Rattus norvegicus: one gene and its partner. The protein of the gene in region 2 interacts with the protein of the main gene of each other region in a pairwise test. Links are inferred from orthologs where the notes say so. Each region holds a gene or a part of one and is shown on either strand. Other genes may lie near its edges.

Region 1 (7,467 bases), on a different chromosome or scaffold from region 2:
GACACGTTTCCTGTCAGTAATGGGCCTTAGACTTTATAGATACATAAAATCATCTATGTACTGATGATATGAAACAAGTCTGGCAGTTGTGGCCCATGCCTTTAATCCCAGTACTCTGGAGGCAGAGGCAGGCAGATCTCTGTGAATCCGAGGCTAGCCTGGTCTACAGAGTGAGTTTCAGGACAGCCAGGGCTACACAAAGAGACCCTATGTTCTATTATTTAAAAAACTACAAACAAGAAAAATAAAATGTATAGGACATGCATATATTATACAAACTCTGAAATTTTATATAAAGAACTTGAACAGTGGAGGGGGTTGCTTACAAAAAAGATCCGTCAAAAGGTTAAGGGGTTGGGGATTTAGCTCAGTGGTAGAGCGCTTGCCTAGGGAGCGCAAGGCCCTGGGTTCGGTCCCCAGTTCCGAAAAAAAGAACCAAAAAAAAAAAGGTTAATAAAATCAAAAGATACATAATTAAGTCTCCACATAAGGTATTTTTACCTTTCCATTCCTAACAGAATTTACTAGTTATTTAGAGAATTGGTAAATAAAATCTCACAGACAATTATGCATTATGGTATTTTCATGATAACAGAAAAACAAAAGAAAAATTCTCATGTGAATTTTCAAATCAGCAACAAAAATCATAATCAAGATTTTCTAAGGGGCCAGAGGCTCATTGGCAGAGTATATGATTAGCATGCCTGAAGCCCTGGGTTTAATCTTTAACACACACACAAACTAATCACGATCAATTTAATAATTAAGAACATAACTGGTAATACTGCTACCATCTTTGTATTCAATATGAATGAGACACACAAGTTATTAGGTTTTGATAAATTCCTTCAATAAATGTTTAACAATATCTACCAAGACATACTTCCCTCCCTTAAGGAGTTTATATTTTCAAACATGGTATATATTGATACACATCTTTCAATCAACCAAGTTTTAACACACTCTAATTTTACAATTGACTGAAATATGCATAAAGAAGTTAACTTGCCCAGTACCACCATCATTAAGAACAAAGCCTTGAGTAGTATCAAGGGAACTCCACTTCAACGGCATCTAAATATCCGGAAAAAAATAAAACCATAGCAGCAGTGGGGGTGGTGCTGTTTGCTTGTTTTTGAAACAGGGTCTCTCAGTGTGTAGCTTTGGCTAGCCCAGGACTTTCGATATAGACTGGGCTAGCCTCACAGAGATCTGCCTGCCTCTGCCACCCAAGTGCTGGGATTAACCATCTGTTGCAGAAAACCTGACACCTTCTTCTGACCACTGCAGACATCAGGCACACAGGCGGTGCACAGACAGACATGCAGTCAAAATACCCTTGCATATAAAATAAAAATAAATGAATCTTTTTTAAAAAATTAATTTCATCTAATTCCTTATGCAGTCTAATGTGTCTACTAGAATATTTTAAATTAAATATGTAGCTCATTAATTTCTACTAGACAGGGCTGGTATTGACTACAACTATATTCAAGATTTTTTATACATTTTTGGCAGTTTCATTATATATGCTAAGTGGGCCTCAAATTCACTACGTAGTTCAGGATACCCTTAAACTCACAATCCTCCTGTGTTAGCCTCTGGGTGCTGAGATTACACACCCAGCTCTATTTTCTGAAGACTTTATGGAATAAACAATCATAAATATATCAGTAAAAGAAAATCTAAACTCGGATATTAAAATAAGTTACAAGGGCATTTATATAACAACAAACTGAAGAAGCTAAAAATCCAAAGAAAGGAAAATAAGAATTTGTCTCCAAATTAACCATAGGAAAAGGTGTTATGTGAAGCGTGGCAATGCTGTTTGCTTACTCGAGGCATGGTGTCATTATACTGCCTCAAACTAGCCTCCTATCTTGCAGGAATTACTTGTGTGTGTGTGTGTGCGCGCGCGCGCGTGTGCGCGCGCGCGCGTGTGCGCGCGCGCGCTTACCACACACATGCACATAACATGTCACCAGTATAGAGGACAGAAGACAATCGTCCAGATCTGCTTCTCTCCTTCCACCATATGGGTCTCAGTGATCAACTCAGGTCATCAGCCTTGGGGGCAAGCATCTTTACTGGCTAAGCCATCTCACCTGCCCTTACAGTGATTTTTTAAAACAATAAATAAATTTTAAATTTCTTAAAGATAAACTTTTTTATCGCCCTGATGTTGAATGGCTTGTGGATGACAGCAGTTTTCTGAAAAAATCATTTTTACAAGCAGAACATACCGTGCTGAGTTGTCTTGATACTACAGAAGCCAATGTACTCCTTCAAACCCCTGCCCTAGAGGCAAGCTAACTGCCCTTATGTAGGCCTTACTATTAGGACAAGATAAAATGTGAACCAGCCACATGGTCTCCAAGAATAAATTTATAGTATTACATGCCCATCTGCTTGCAACAACTTTTTAAATGTACTTTTAACATAGTACTTTTCAGGTTAAACAGTATAATTCTGCATCTCCTAAAATACCTGGGAAAAGCTATAGATTATGACCAGAAAATAAGCTGTGGATTGTGAATTTTGTTTCCTTACACTAGTTCATAAAAAGTTCCAAATATTATTTCTGGTACATAAATGAGAAAAACTGGAGCACTGAATACTCTGAAAAGAAACTTAAGAGACAAACCTGCATGTGTACCTCTGAAGTGCTGGACCCCCAACCCAGGGCTTCACATGTGGAAGGCAAACACTGCCTCGGAGCTACCTCCCAGCTTGTTTTCTTTTTGTTTTGCTTTGTGAAACAATATTTGAGGTATTTCTCCAGCCTCAGTGTTACAAATGTTGGGAGTATATGTCAGGTGCGGTGTTTGACACCTGCACTCTGGAAGCTGACCTAGGAAGATTGCGAATTTGAGGATAGCCTGAGCTACATAAAGTTCTGAGTCAGAGAGAGGGGCTCTTCTGGCCTCTTTGGCCTTGGAGGTAGAAGCAACATGACAAAAGAACACCGTCGTCTGGAAAGCGTCCCAATAAGATGCACACATTGTACCACACACATTGTACCACCGGCCGCTGTGGCTCTAAGAACTACCACTTTCAGAAGTTGGTCTGTGGCAAATGTGGCTACCCTGCCAAGCTCAAGAGAAAGAATAACTGGAGTGCCAAGGCTAAGAGACAAAATACCACCAGGACTGGGTGGATGTGGCACCTAAAAATTGTCTGGACGATTCAGACATGGATTCCGTGAAGGAACAACACCTAAAATCCAAAAGAGCAGCTGATGCAGCAACCACGATTGAGAATTTCAGTCAGCCATAAAATAACTGTTACCATGCAAAGCTTGGTTACCTTTAAAGTCCATGATGCTAAGGTCAGCAATGCCATCCATGTATTAAATGTCCGGATCCAGCCTATTGAACAAGAAAATATTTTAATACTCCACCCTTTATTCTCTAATTTCTTAAAAAGACACTTTTTTCCAGACAACTATGCCCATTACATATTACCTAAAAGTACAGGGAAGTTGAGGAAGCTGAAAATCCAGGAGAAACGTTGTTAAGGAGAGAGGTTTCTGCTGTCCCGCAACCGAAAAGCTTGCTCGTCTCTGGCGGCCCAACGGCCCAAGGCCGGAAGGCGAGGTTCAGGGCTCTGTCACAGCTAGTCATGTTCTGTGATTGGTCTGTCCCGCACACACTGCCCCGCCCTCTTTATGCAAATAGATTGAGTCATACTTTGTGATTGGTCTGTTTCGGTGTTCAAACACTCTCGTGCATATCCCATCGGCCCCCTCGCTCTTGGCTGCGTTTTTTGGCGCCTTTTTCCCGCTCTACGTGGCCTTCCACTAACGGTCGCTGAGCTGAATTGGCGCTGCTTAGCCCTCCTTCCCCTACCCACAAACCTCTCGTTCTGAAGATATTACCTCAGAGCATCTCTAAGAAGTATTGTCAAATGTCTGTTTCTTCTTGGTAGTTCTAAACCCTGGGCTGCAGATGCGGGGCCCTGAGTTCGATAATACACACATATATACATAAACACACGTAATAAACAAGATGAAAGAAAAGACTGGACCACTTCCTATCCACTAAACCTCTCGCCCGCTGAAACTACAGCCTTTAAATGTGCCTCACACGCTCCTCAGGAGAGCAAAGCTCCTTCCCCTCTATTACATCATCAAAAACCACTCCCAATTGTCCTTTACGATATATTGATTCTCTGCCTTGGAATCCTGTCTAAATTCTCTACACTGGATGAAACCAGAACGAGACTTATCAGGACAAGGTCTAGACGTAAGAACAGAAGTGGACTACCATTCAAAGGAAGGACAGATGGCCAGGATTATAGAAAAACAAGAACAAGAATTCACTCATACACACGCTACAAAAACAGTGTACACAGAGCTACTCAGTGTTTCAAACTGGCAAGGTATCCCAGCACAGTAGCACAGGCTACTAGTGTCACCAGTCAGAGGCTAAAGCAAGAGAATCCCTTGAGTCAAGGCATTCTAGATCGCCTGGGAAGCATAGTAAAACCCCAGCAAAGAAATAAATAAATAGTGTCAAAATTCGGAAAAAGAAGAAATTGTGCACTCGAGGCAGGGAGGCTAACCGCAGACCTTCATATCTCCCTCCATGCCTGAGTCCCAATCCCCAAGTCTCATCCCCAGTTCGTAGAGTCTCATCCCCAGTTCGTAGCAGACCCACCTGCCGCTGTCTCTCCTTACTCTCTACCTCCCTCCCCCTTCCCAAGGGACTAAACAGATCCCCATGGAAAACCAAGCTTTCATCCTGCGGACAGCTTCACCCTGCCCTCCTACCCATCCCTTTCCCTAAATGTCAGCACCTAGAAAAAACGTTTTGCCTGGAATCACCGTGGACTTCCCTATGAGGCAACACAGAACCACCACGCTCTCCTAAGAACCACAGAGGGTAACAGAAACCCAAGACAAGACCAGAGATCAGCACCGATGTAACTGCTTGTATTACTGAGATGGGTAGGCTGATTCCATGACAGGCTCCTATCCCAGAATTCCCCTAACGTGCTTTAAATCAGGCCTGTGAGCTTACTTCTGGGTCTTTCTATCTTGGTAATGGGAGACTCCAGCATGCTGGACTTCTGCAGGATAAGAGCATTTACATACTATTTGAGTCTGGGTATCATCCTTCAGTGAATCATGAACCCTTATTTTGCGAATCCTAATTATGTTCCCCCAAAAAACTGTTTTCACTAGAGGGTCTACACATAGCTTCTGGGAACCTGTCCGGAGCTGGTTCTGATTGGTAAATAAACATGCCAGAAGCCAGTAGCTGGGAAGGACAGACAGAGGCGGGATTCTAGGATTCCCCCAGCTTGAGACTGGGAGGAGAAGAAAAGAGATCCACCATACTTTAGAAGAGTGTGACGAGAGGACAGAGTCTGCCATGGAGTAGAAAGGCAAGGAGAACACCCCGGCTCTGGGCCAAGAAAAACGTGACCCAGACGGCTGACTAATTGGAGTTAGAGCAGCCAAGACTGAATATAGAAATGAGTAAGTAGTAACTCGGAATTATCGGCGGGAGCTAGATTCTAGCAGCATAGATGCAGTCACCCAGCTATCGTGCTGCTTAAGGCATGTTAAAAGGCTCTGTGTGTGTGTGTGTGTGTGTGTGTGTGTGACTGTGATGGTGGTGGTAGTGGTGTGTGTGTGTGTGTATGTGAGTGTGGTGGTGGTGGTAGTGGTGTGTGTGTGTGTGTGTGTGTGAGACTGTGGTGGTGGTGGTAGTGGTGTGTGTGTGTGTGTGTGTGTGTGTGTGTGACTGTGGTGGTGGTGGTAGTGGTGTGTGTGTGTGTGTGTGTGTGACTGTGGTGGTGGTGGTAGTGGTGTGTGTGTGTGTGTGTGTGTGACTGTGGTGGTGGTGGTAGTGGTGTGTGTGTGTGTGTGTGTGACTGTGGTGGTGGTGGTAGTGGTGTGTGTGTGTGTGTGACTGTGGTGGTGGTGGTAGTGGTGTGTGTGTGTGTGTGTGTGACTGTGGTGGTGGTGGTAGTGGTGTGTGTGTGTGTGTGTGTGACTGTGGTGGTGGTGGTAGTGGTGTGTGTGTGTGTGTGTGTGTGTGTGTGTGTGTGACTGTGGTGGTGGTGGTAGTGGGGTGTGTGTGTGTGTGTGTGTGTGTGTGTGTGTGTGTGTGTGTATCTTCCATTCGGGAACATAAACCACTGAGGTGGGTAGCCTCTGAGTGTGAAAACCAGAAAACCAATAGGTCTTTGGGGTTTTTTGGTTTTTTGGTTTTTGTTTTGTTTTGTTGTGTTGTGTTTTTTAGTTTGGTTTGGTTTGGTTTGGTTTGGTTTGGTTTGGTTTGGTTTGGTTTTGGTTTTGGTTTATAGAGACGGGTTTTCTCTGTGTGGCTTTGAATATCCTGAAACTCACTCTGTGGACCAGGCTTGCCTCAAATTCAAAGGGATGTGCCACCACTATCTAGCTATTATTTTTTTTCGGAGCTGGGGACCGAACCCAAGGCCTTGCGCTTGTTAGGCAAACGCTCTACCACTGAGCTAAATCCCCAACCCACTGTCTAGCTATTTTATTTTATTCTTTAAAGCATGAATTTGAAAAGATGGGGTTGGGGATTTAGCTCAGTGGTAGAGCGCTTGCCCAGGAAGCGCAAGGCCTTGGGTTCGGTTCCCAGCTCCGAAAAAAAAGAACCAAAAAAAAAAAAAAGAATTTGAAAAGACTGGAAAAAAATTTAGTTCCAGGATAGTTTTGCCCAAGAGTTTAAGAGCATCGGCTACTCTCCACAGACTCAGGTAACTCACCTCCATCTGTAACCCCTGTTCCAGGGGATCAGAGACCATATTCTGGCCTCCACAGGCATTGTACCCACATAGTGCCCATACATACAGGCAAAAAAACTCACATACATAAATACAAATAACAATTTAATTTGTAAATCTGCAGTTCCAAGGCATGCCTCTGTTGCTCCTGCTCATATCAAATCTGATGTTTTGAATCTGACTTTAATGTAATCCAGGTCCATTATGCCAGCACCCTACCCTCTGACCTACATCTCCAGTATCTCCTGTCGAATCTAAAACTACCCATTGCCTGTCCTTCAGACTCACAGCAAGTTTATAAATCCCATTGTGGTGGTTAGAATATGCTTGGCCCATGGGAAGTGGCACTATTATGAGGTGTGGCCTTATTGGAGGAAGTGTGCCACTGTGGGGATGGGCTCTGAGATCTCCTAGCTTCCTGGAAGACAGTCTTCTCCTAGTTCCCTTTGGAACAAGATGCAGAACTCTCAACTCCTCCTGCACCATGCCTACCTGGATGCTGCCATGTTCCTGCCTTGATGGTAATGGTCTGAACCTCTGAAACAGTAAGCCAGCCCCAAGATTTGCCTTGGTCATGGTGTCTCTTTACAACAAGGAGACCCTAAGACACCCATCAACCTTCAAATGGTTCTAGGCAGCATAGAATATATGGATAAATAAACTTGTTTCCACCTAGTACACATACAACGCCTCCAAGTAAGAAAA
Region 2 (7,367 bases):
GGAATGAATCTCACAGAGGACCGGTGAAGGACAAAGCAGCAAGAAATAGGGAGAGACCCTGAGGGGATCAGAGGAAGAGAACCACTCATGGCCAAGCCAAGCAGGCAAAGCTAGGGACATTCCGTTTCCCCCAATCCCACCTCATGTATTAGGGATCCAAGTGGGTGCCAGCAGAATGGTGCCCAAGGAGAGGGGGGCTGCCTAGGTTATACACTAAACAAGCGCTGGGGCAGCAAGAGGACAATATGTACAGATGTTTTTTTTCAGTTCTCCAGCCTAACCAGTGTGACTGTTCAAGTAAACTGCCCCTCCCCGGGGCACTCGCTTCCTCTAGAACAGAAAGGGCCAGACTTCCACCCTGGTGACGGCTGGGTTTGCTATGGGATTTGCAGGGTCAGAGGCTCTTCCTAGCAGGTGCTGAGGTCCAGGTCCAGGCAGGGGTGGGGGTGCAGGCAGGCAGGCAGGCAGGCTACTTCTTGCGGGTGTGCTGCCTTCGGGCCTGAAGTCGCTGTCGAGCCCCTGGGGTCTTGGATCCCGCGCCAATGGAAAAGGAAGGGGCTCCTGATCCTGGAAGAGGTAACAAGACTATCAGGGCAGCTGCCGCCACGGAGAATGTGCTGGTGCCCTGATCTGGGAAGTCGGTCAATAGCAGAAACCTAAGTGTTTCACTAGGGCTTCTGAAGTCACGGGGAGCCCTCACAGCTCTTAGCTGGAGAGATGGCTCGGTGGTTAAGAGCACTGGCTGCTGCTTCCAGAGGTCCTGAGTTCAATTCCCAGCACCAACATAGCAGCTCACAACTGTCCAGTTCCAGGGACTCTGACACCCTCACACAGACAGATAATATGCAGGAAAACACAAATGCACACAGAAATAAATAAAACACCAGCACTTGGCTCCTCAAATACTTGAGCTTCCTGAGAAGACTCAACTTTTGCTGTTCGACTTCCCTGAACCCCGAGGGCCAGCAACCTGCTATATTCCTAATCACTCCCCACTCAAGGGACAAGGATGCCATGCTGACAACAGACTGGTGACTTACCGAAAGGTCCAACTCCAACAAAGCCTTGGGCAGGTGTTGAAGGGGCCCCAAATGAGAGGCTGCTGCCTGTGGTGCCGACTCCTGGGGCAGGGGCACTCTGCCCAAAAGTAGGTGTGGATGTGCCTAAAGGGGAGACAGAAGAGTTAGAGACCAGACTGTTATCACACTAACCCCCAGCTCCAGGCCTGATGAAACCAGTCTCTGCCACCCCTCCATTATACAACTGCAGTGAGATGTGGGGCTGTCAGGTTAGCCCTCCCTGCCTCTTCTCCCTTGTTCCCTGCCCCTTCCCCTCACTCATCTTGGAGGGTCCCTCTTCTTCTCAGCATGCCCTATGGGAATGGCCCCTGCTCTGCCTGTGTGTAGTTGTCTCAGGGCTGTCTTGCTCTGACGCTGACTCCAGACCACTTCTCTCCCCTTCTATCTCAAACTCCCAATTTCTTTGTTTTGCTTTTTTGAGACTGGGTTTTCTGCTATGTAGCCCACGTTGGCTTTCAACTCTCCAACCTCCTGCCCAAGACTAGGTGCTGGGATGACGGACATGCAATACCACACCCAGGCCAATTCCTGTGGTTCAGGTCACCAGGCTCTAACTAACAGTGGTGGTCCTTTGGAAGGTCACCTGTCAATCACCACCCTCCCCGCAACAAGGATCCTGATCCCTCCCCCTCCCCATTCTTAAGTGAGCAAGATTCATGATCTTTTAGTGCTAATGACACACACACGAACTCTGAGTGTTATCTGTTGTGTGTATCTGCACCAGAGCAGTACTCATCTATGGGAGTGTACAGAAGCCAGAGGTTGACACTGGGTGTCTCTGAGTCTCTCACTGGCCTGGAGCTGGCTATGGTGGCTAGAGGGACGGTGAGTTTAGAGGATCTGCCAACCTCCACACACCCAGCATTGGGATTTACAGGTTCCCACGGCCTCAGCACGCTTTAGCACAGGAGACTGAACTCAGATCCTCAACTGCAAGCATCAGGCAGTTTGACTACTGAGCTATCTCCCCAGCCACATCCACCTCCTTATTCCAGAGGCTGCTTGAACCTCTGCAAGCTATGTGAGCAAGCCTTCCACTGTCTTCCCTTACATCCCCTTTCTCATGTTCCTGACAACTCACTCAACAGACCTGCCTCCTGCCCTGGTCCATCTTCCTCACTTCACTAAGCGCTTCTATTTACTGAAGAAGTCAGCAGCTCTTAGGACCAAAACTCACTCTGCACACTGCTGTACGACCTCTTCACCCTTAGGCTTGAAATTCTGCTGTGACTTCCCTGGACATTTAAAATCCAGGCAATGAATCCTGACTATGACCAACCCTGAACTCTGCCAGCCTTGCAACCTCCAGCCAATCTTGCCTATTCTCTGCACATGAATCCACCATTCCTGCTTCTGCCTCTATGCCGTGAGGCTACCCTCCCCTGCAGCCTGCAGCGGGTGTGTGCCCATCACTGGAGCTTTGGGAAGTATGAAGATCTTGAATTAGAGGGCAACCTGGGTTACACTAGGAAGCAGTATCAAACACACACACACACACACACACACACACACACACACACACACACACAAAGCAAACAGAAGCCAGTGCGATGGCTCAGAGGGAAAGCACTTGCAGCACAAGTCGGGCAACCCGAGTTTTAGTCTCAGAATTTAAGGAAAGGGAAAGATAACCTACTCCATAAAGTTACACTCTGACCTCTATCTGTACACCATGGTAATGTGCATGTACATGTATACGCATGCACGTGCATACATACACACTATAAATTACAGCAGCTGGGGAGATGGCTTGGTGAGTTAAAAGTGCTTCCTGTACAAGCACAAGTAACCATACAAGATAAAGCTAGGAATGACTGTACGCACAGGTTAACACCAAGCACATAAACCAAACATTTTTCCTTCCATTCATTACTTCTTCAAAGGCATTGATTTTGGTTTTCTAATGGAGGCTGGAGCGATAGCTCAATGGTTTCAGAGACCTAGATTCAATTTCCAGCACCCACATGGCAGCTCACAGGTCCCAGGGATCTAACGCCCTCTTGTAGCTGCTGGGGGCGGGCACCAGCACACATGTGGTAAACAGACAGACATACAGCCAAAGACCTAAGACCAGCCACCTCTCCAAGCCTCCAGAAACCTTTCTTCACTGCACAGGGCTCCCATCATCTCTAGTTTGGATTGCTAGTTGGCCTCTAACAATGCAGACGACTATGGTGCACTAACCCCTAACAGGGTTGTGGATCTTACCTCCAAACACAGGCTTGCTTTCAGGTGTACTGCCCACACTGAAGGCGAACGGTGAGCTCTGGCTAGGTGCGCCCAGGGTGTTCTGACTCAGACTTCCCCCAAAGGAGGTGGTGGTGCCCGTGGTCCCGCTCTGTCCAGATCCAAAGCTAAAAGTTCCAGAGGTGGAGCCGGTACCTGGTGTAGCACTAAGCCCAAAGCCTCCACCACCAGCAGGAGCTGCTGAGCCACCGAATGTGAATGGGGATGGAGTAGAGCTGCCAAACAGAGAGCTGCTGCTCCCACTGTGGGTGGTCTGTGTGGTGGCGGCAGCAGCACCAAAGCCAGATGTGGTGGCTGAACCAAAGGAGAACACGGAAGTGGTGCTACCGAAAGCCGGCTGAGTGCTGGCAGGGGTGCCGAAGGTGGAGGCTGAGGCTTTCAACCCTCCGAAAGCTGGCTGTGCAGCACCACCAAAGGCGGCTGGTGCTGGGGCTGCCGACGGGGCTGAGGCCACAGAGTTGCCAAAAGTGAAAGAGCTGCCAAAACTTGGGGCAAGTGCCGGCTTGGTGGCCCCATCAGTGGCTCCAAATGTGGGCTGTGAGTTGGCTCCGGGGTAGGTTGGGAGCGCAGGCTTGGCACTGGCGCTAAAGGGAATGTTGAAGGTGGGGGTGACAGTGTTGCTGAAGGTCAGAGTGGGCTGGCTGGTGGTGGCAGGGGCAGAGGTGGAGGTGGTGAGGGTCCCACCAAAACCACTGAAGCCCCCACTACTATTGCTGGCAGCAGTCTGGGCAGAGCTGGCAAGGGACTGGCTAAAGGAGGTGCCCGCCACAGACGCTGCTGGGGCAAGGGGCTTGCCAAATTGGAAGATGGAGGCCAGGGCTGGGGCGGAACTGGAAGCAGTAACAGGCGGGGCTCCCCCAAACAGAAGTGACTGGGAGGTGGAAGCTATGGTACTGGCAGTGCTCGCTGCAGTGGTCACTCCAAAGCCAAACACAGGCTTGGAGGCAGAAGCTGTGGTGCCAGTGGCCACTGTGGAAGTGGCAGTGCCCAGGCCAGTGAGGAGAGGAGCTGATGTGGCTGCAGTGGTGGCCGGAGCAGTTGTCTGCTTCAGGGAGAAGGGAGGTGACAGGGGCATGGCTGCAAATGGCTCCACGCTCTCAAAAATGGGCTTGAAAGTGTGAGCTGTGGCGGTTGCTGTTGTGGGGAGGGCGGTGCTGGCTGGAGTTGTCGTGGCGGCTGAGGAGCTAGTTGGCAAGGGATTATCACTCTCACTCTTAGGTGTGGCCGGGAAAATGGGCTTAAACATGGGAGAAGCGCAAGCTGGGCCAGGAGTGGCAAGGGAAGAGGAGCTGGCAGGTGGACTCAGCATCCCGAACAGCGTGCTGGCTGGAGTTGGGGAGGGAGCTGTGGCGGCTGGGGTGCTGACACACAGCTGGGCCTGAGAGACTCCAGGGGCCTTGGTGTCAGTGAGTGGTGTGGCGGATGAAGCAGAAGCCAGCCCCAGGAAGGTGGTTGTAGGTTTGGAGTCTGAGGAGGTGCTGGCTAGGGGCCCTGTCAGTGGTGAGACAAGAGGGGCCAGGAGGCTAGGTGTCTTCGGAGGTGAAGGGGCCGCAACTGTTGCTGCCTCAGGAGGTTCTGGGAAGAGAAGAAGTGAAGTGAGTCCTGAGGAAGTCTGAGAGTGGCACTCAACACGCCTGCACCCTCCAGCAACCACCACCACACCACGACTCAAGACATTTGTACCCCCACAGATTCCAGCAAAGACAGAAGGGAAAGCAGGGGAGCCTAGGGCTCCATGTGTGGTCATGAAGGAAAATGCTATTCCTGCAGCTCTGCAACTTCCCTGTCTACATGGGACAAAGGCCCATCATGTTTACCAACCCAGCAAAGAGTGTCTGGCCAGCCCCGAGAGCTACATCAGCACGCCTGCACTCTAGTGTGAGAAGTCAACTACACAGCGTGTTCAAGTGTGGGCCATGAAGGCATTAGCTGGTAAGGCTCACTAGTCCCAGTTTCAGTTACTCTAGGTTTGGGGTCCAGAAAGCTATAGATGCCTCACACTGTTCATACCTCCCAAAGAAGACAGCGTTCTCAATGCAGAGAAGACACACTCAGGACAGCTAGGGCAGCTAGCTGCCTTTCAACCATGAACCCAGTATTACAGCCCGCCTCCCTGTGTATTTCCAGACCAGGGCATTCTGAAGCCCTGAACTGACAGGCTACACACTCCCGTCATATCAAAAGCCTGTAATTCCAGGGCACACTGCTCTGCTTACCTGAGGAGGATGGGGCTGGAGACTCCTGCATCTTCTTCAAACTCTCCAACAGTGGGTTAGAGCTGGGAGCTGGGAGGGAGGCTGGTGAGGCAGCAGGCCCCACGGTAGGCAGGGTGAGTGTGAAGGGAGGGCTGGTGGCTGGGGAGGTGTCAGTGGCTGGGGTAGAGGCATCATCTGCAGAAGAAAGGTAAGCTTTTTACATCGGACCTCCTTCCAGATTCAGAAACACCTGTCCAGAAATGCTTCCCTAACCTCACTGGTGGCACACGGCCTGTGTTCCAGCACACGGGAGTGCAGGCAAGAGGACTATGAATGGGAGACTAAGCAGTTACACAGTAACTCTATTTTCACACACAATTCAAAACTCCCATTTCCCATGGGAAAGTATTGGTGACAGCTCCTGGTAATAAGGCCCCTGGTAGAACAAGTGGGGACAAAGACCCAAGAGCTGGTTGTGATGGCACACATCTGAAACCCTGCACTTTGGAGGCTGAAGCAGCAGTATTATGACTCTGAAGGCAGTCTTGGAAGATGAGACTCAGAACTAAATGGAAAAATCAAGTATTCTACAACTTCTCTCCCCAGGAAAGCTGAAACACACACAGAGCATGCTGAGCTCCACAGTCTTACCCGTCTTATCCTCCAAGACCTTGTTAAACCACTGCAGTGAGGCTCTCCTCTCCATGTCCAGGTCTTCAGCAGTGATGGAATAGCCAAGCTCAGGGGGTGGAGGCTGCCCAAGCAAACAGAGACAGGTTAGACCAACCCCAGAAGCTGTGGAAACCTGCCCCAGACTCCCTAAGACTAAAAGAGCTGAGAGGGATCGATAAGACATACCAAGGTGAGCTGGTCCCCTCGCCGGGAGGGCAGCAGCTGAATCTTGCGTTTGCGTTGCCCGGAGCTGCCAGGTGTGGGTGGGGAAGTCCACAGGCTCTGCTGCTTCCCCGTGGCTGGATCTGTAACTACAGAAACAAGGGTTGCTGGCCTCCCTAGTAAGGTCAAGACAGTTTGGAAGAGATTGTTTTCTGTGTTAGTGTTGTTTCTGACTGCTTCCGGAACAGCTGTGACCCCACTCCTCAGAGCCCAACCCTGAGCTCATGGCCTGGCAGTCCTCATATTCTGCAGTGGACACTCTTCCTATGCTGGACCTCCAAAGGGCTACAACTATCTTCCAAGCCTCACAGTGGCTAACTTCCACTGGAGATGCCACTCTCGGCTCCCATGGCTTCTCTACTTACCCTTTTCTCCTGGGGACTCCTTGTCTGTCACCAAGGGAGCTGAAGAACTGGACTGGTGACATGGTTCCTCCTCTCTGTGGAGATTGTGAAAAGCTAGGGTTTACTTGGGAAGGCCTGGAGGCTGCATGGCACCCCCCACACACACTTGCACATTCCTACACAGGCAAAGTCTAGAAAAACCACAGCTCTAGGTGTCAGCATATCACTATGAGTTGACAGAGGCCATGAACAACCAGCCTTTAATCAAATACAGAACAGGGATCTGCAAAGCTTTACTCAAAGCCTGCCAAGTCCAGGGTCCCAGACTACATCTTCAGGCTCTAACGGTAGGTTAGTGCCAGGAACAAGGAGGAACTGGTGAGGAAGCAGGCCCAAGACAGACAGACAGACATACAAAATAAAAAAAGGCTGGGTGGCAGGTAGGGAGGTGGGGCCAGACACAGACAGACCTGATCCTTGAGGGAGCTGAGCTCCAGGGAAGGGTGAACTGGGGCGAGAGACTCAGGCTCCCTGTTGACCGGGTCCACTCTGCACCACTCCCAGTGGAGTATGAGACAGAGAAGGAACTCCAGCCATCAGCTGCTCTC

What was found. The genes of interacting proteins can lie anywhere in the genome.
Region 1: the proteins of Pom121 (region 2) and Tex11 interact in binary tests that used the Homo sapiens proteins (3 or more experiments, as listed by UniProt). The two-hybrid records come from large-scale screens. The link is inferred for Rattus norvegicus from reciprocal best matches to the Homo sapiens genes POM121 and TEX11.

The regions. Positions count from the first base shown.
Region 1 is NC_086039.1:70,232,371-70,239,837, forward strand, and holds the start of Tex11 (testis-expressed protein 11), read right to left. Parts: upstream 4,175-7,467; 5' UTR 3,465-4,174; intron 3,369-3,464; 5' UTR 3,347-3,368; coding exon 3,307-3,346; intron 1-3,306. UniProt on the Homo sapiens protein: Regulator of crossing-over during meiosis. Involved in initiation and/or maintenance of chromosome synapsis and formation of crossovers.
Region 2 is NC_086030.1:26,922,063-26,929,429, reverse strand, and holds part of Pom121 (nuclear envelope pore membrane protein POM 121), read right to left. Parts: intron 6,855-7,367; coding exon 6,781-6,854; intron 6,505-6,780; coding exon 6,380-6,504; intron 6,276-6,379; coding exon 6,173-6,275; intron 5,717-6,172; coding exon 5,543-5,716; intron 4,902-5,542; coding exon 3,288-4,901; intron 1,164-3,287; coding exon 1,041-1,163; intron 568-1,040; coding exon 470-567; 3' UTR 1-469. UniProt on the Homo sapiens protein: Essential component of the nuclear pore complex (NPC). The repeat-containing domain may be involved in anchoring components of the pore complex to the pore membrane. When overexpressed in cells induces the formation of cytoplasmic annulate lamellae (AL).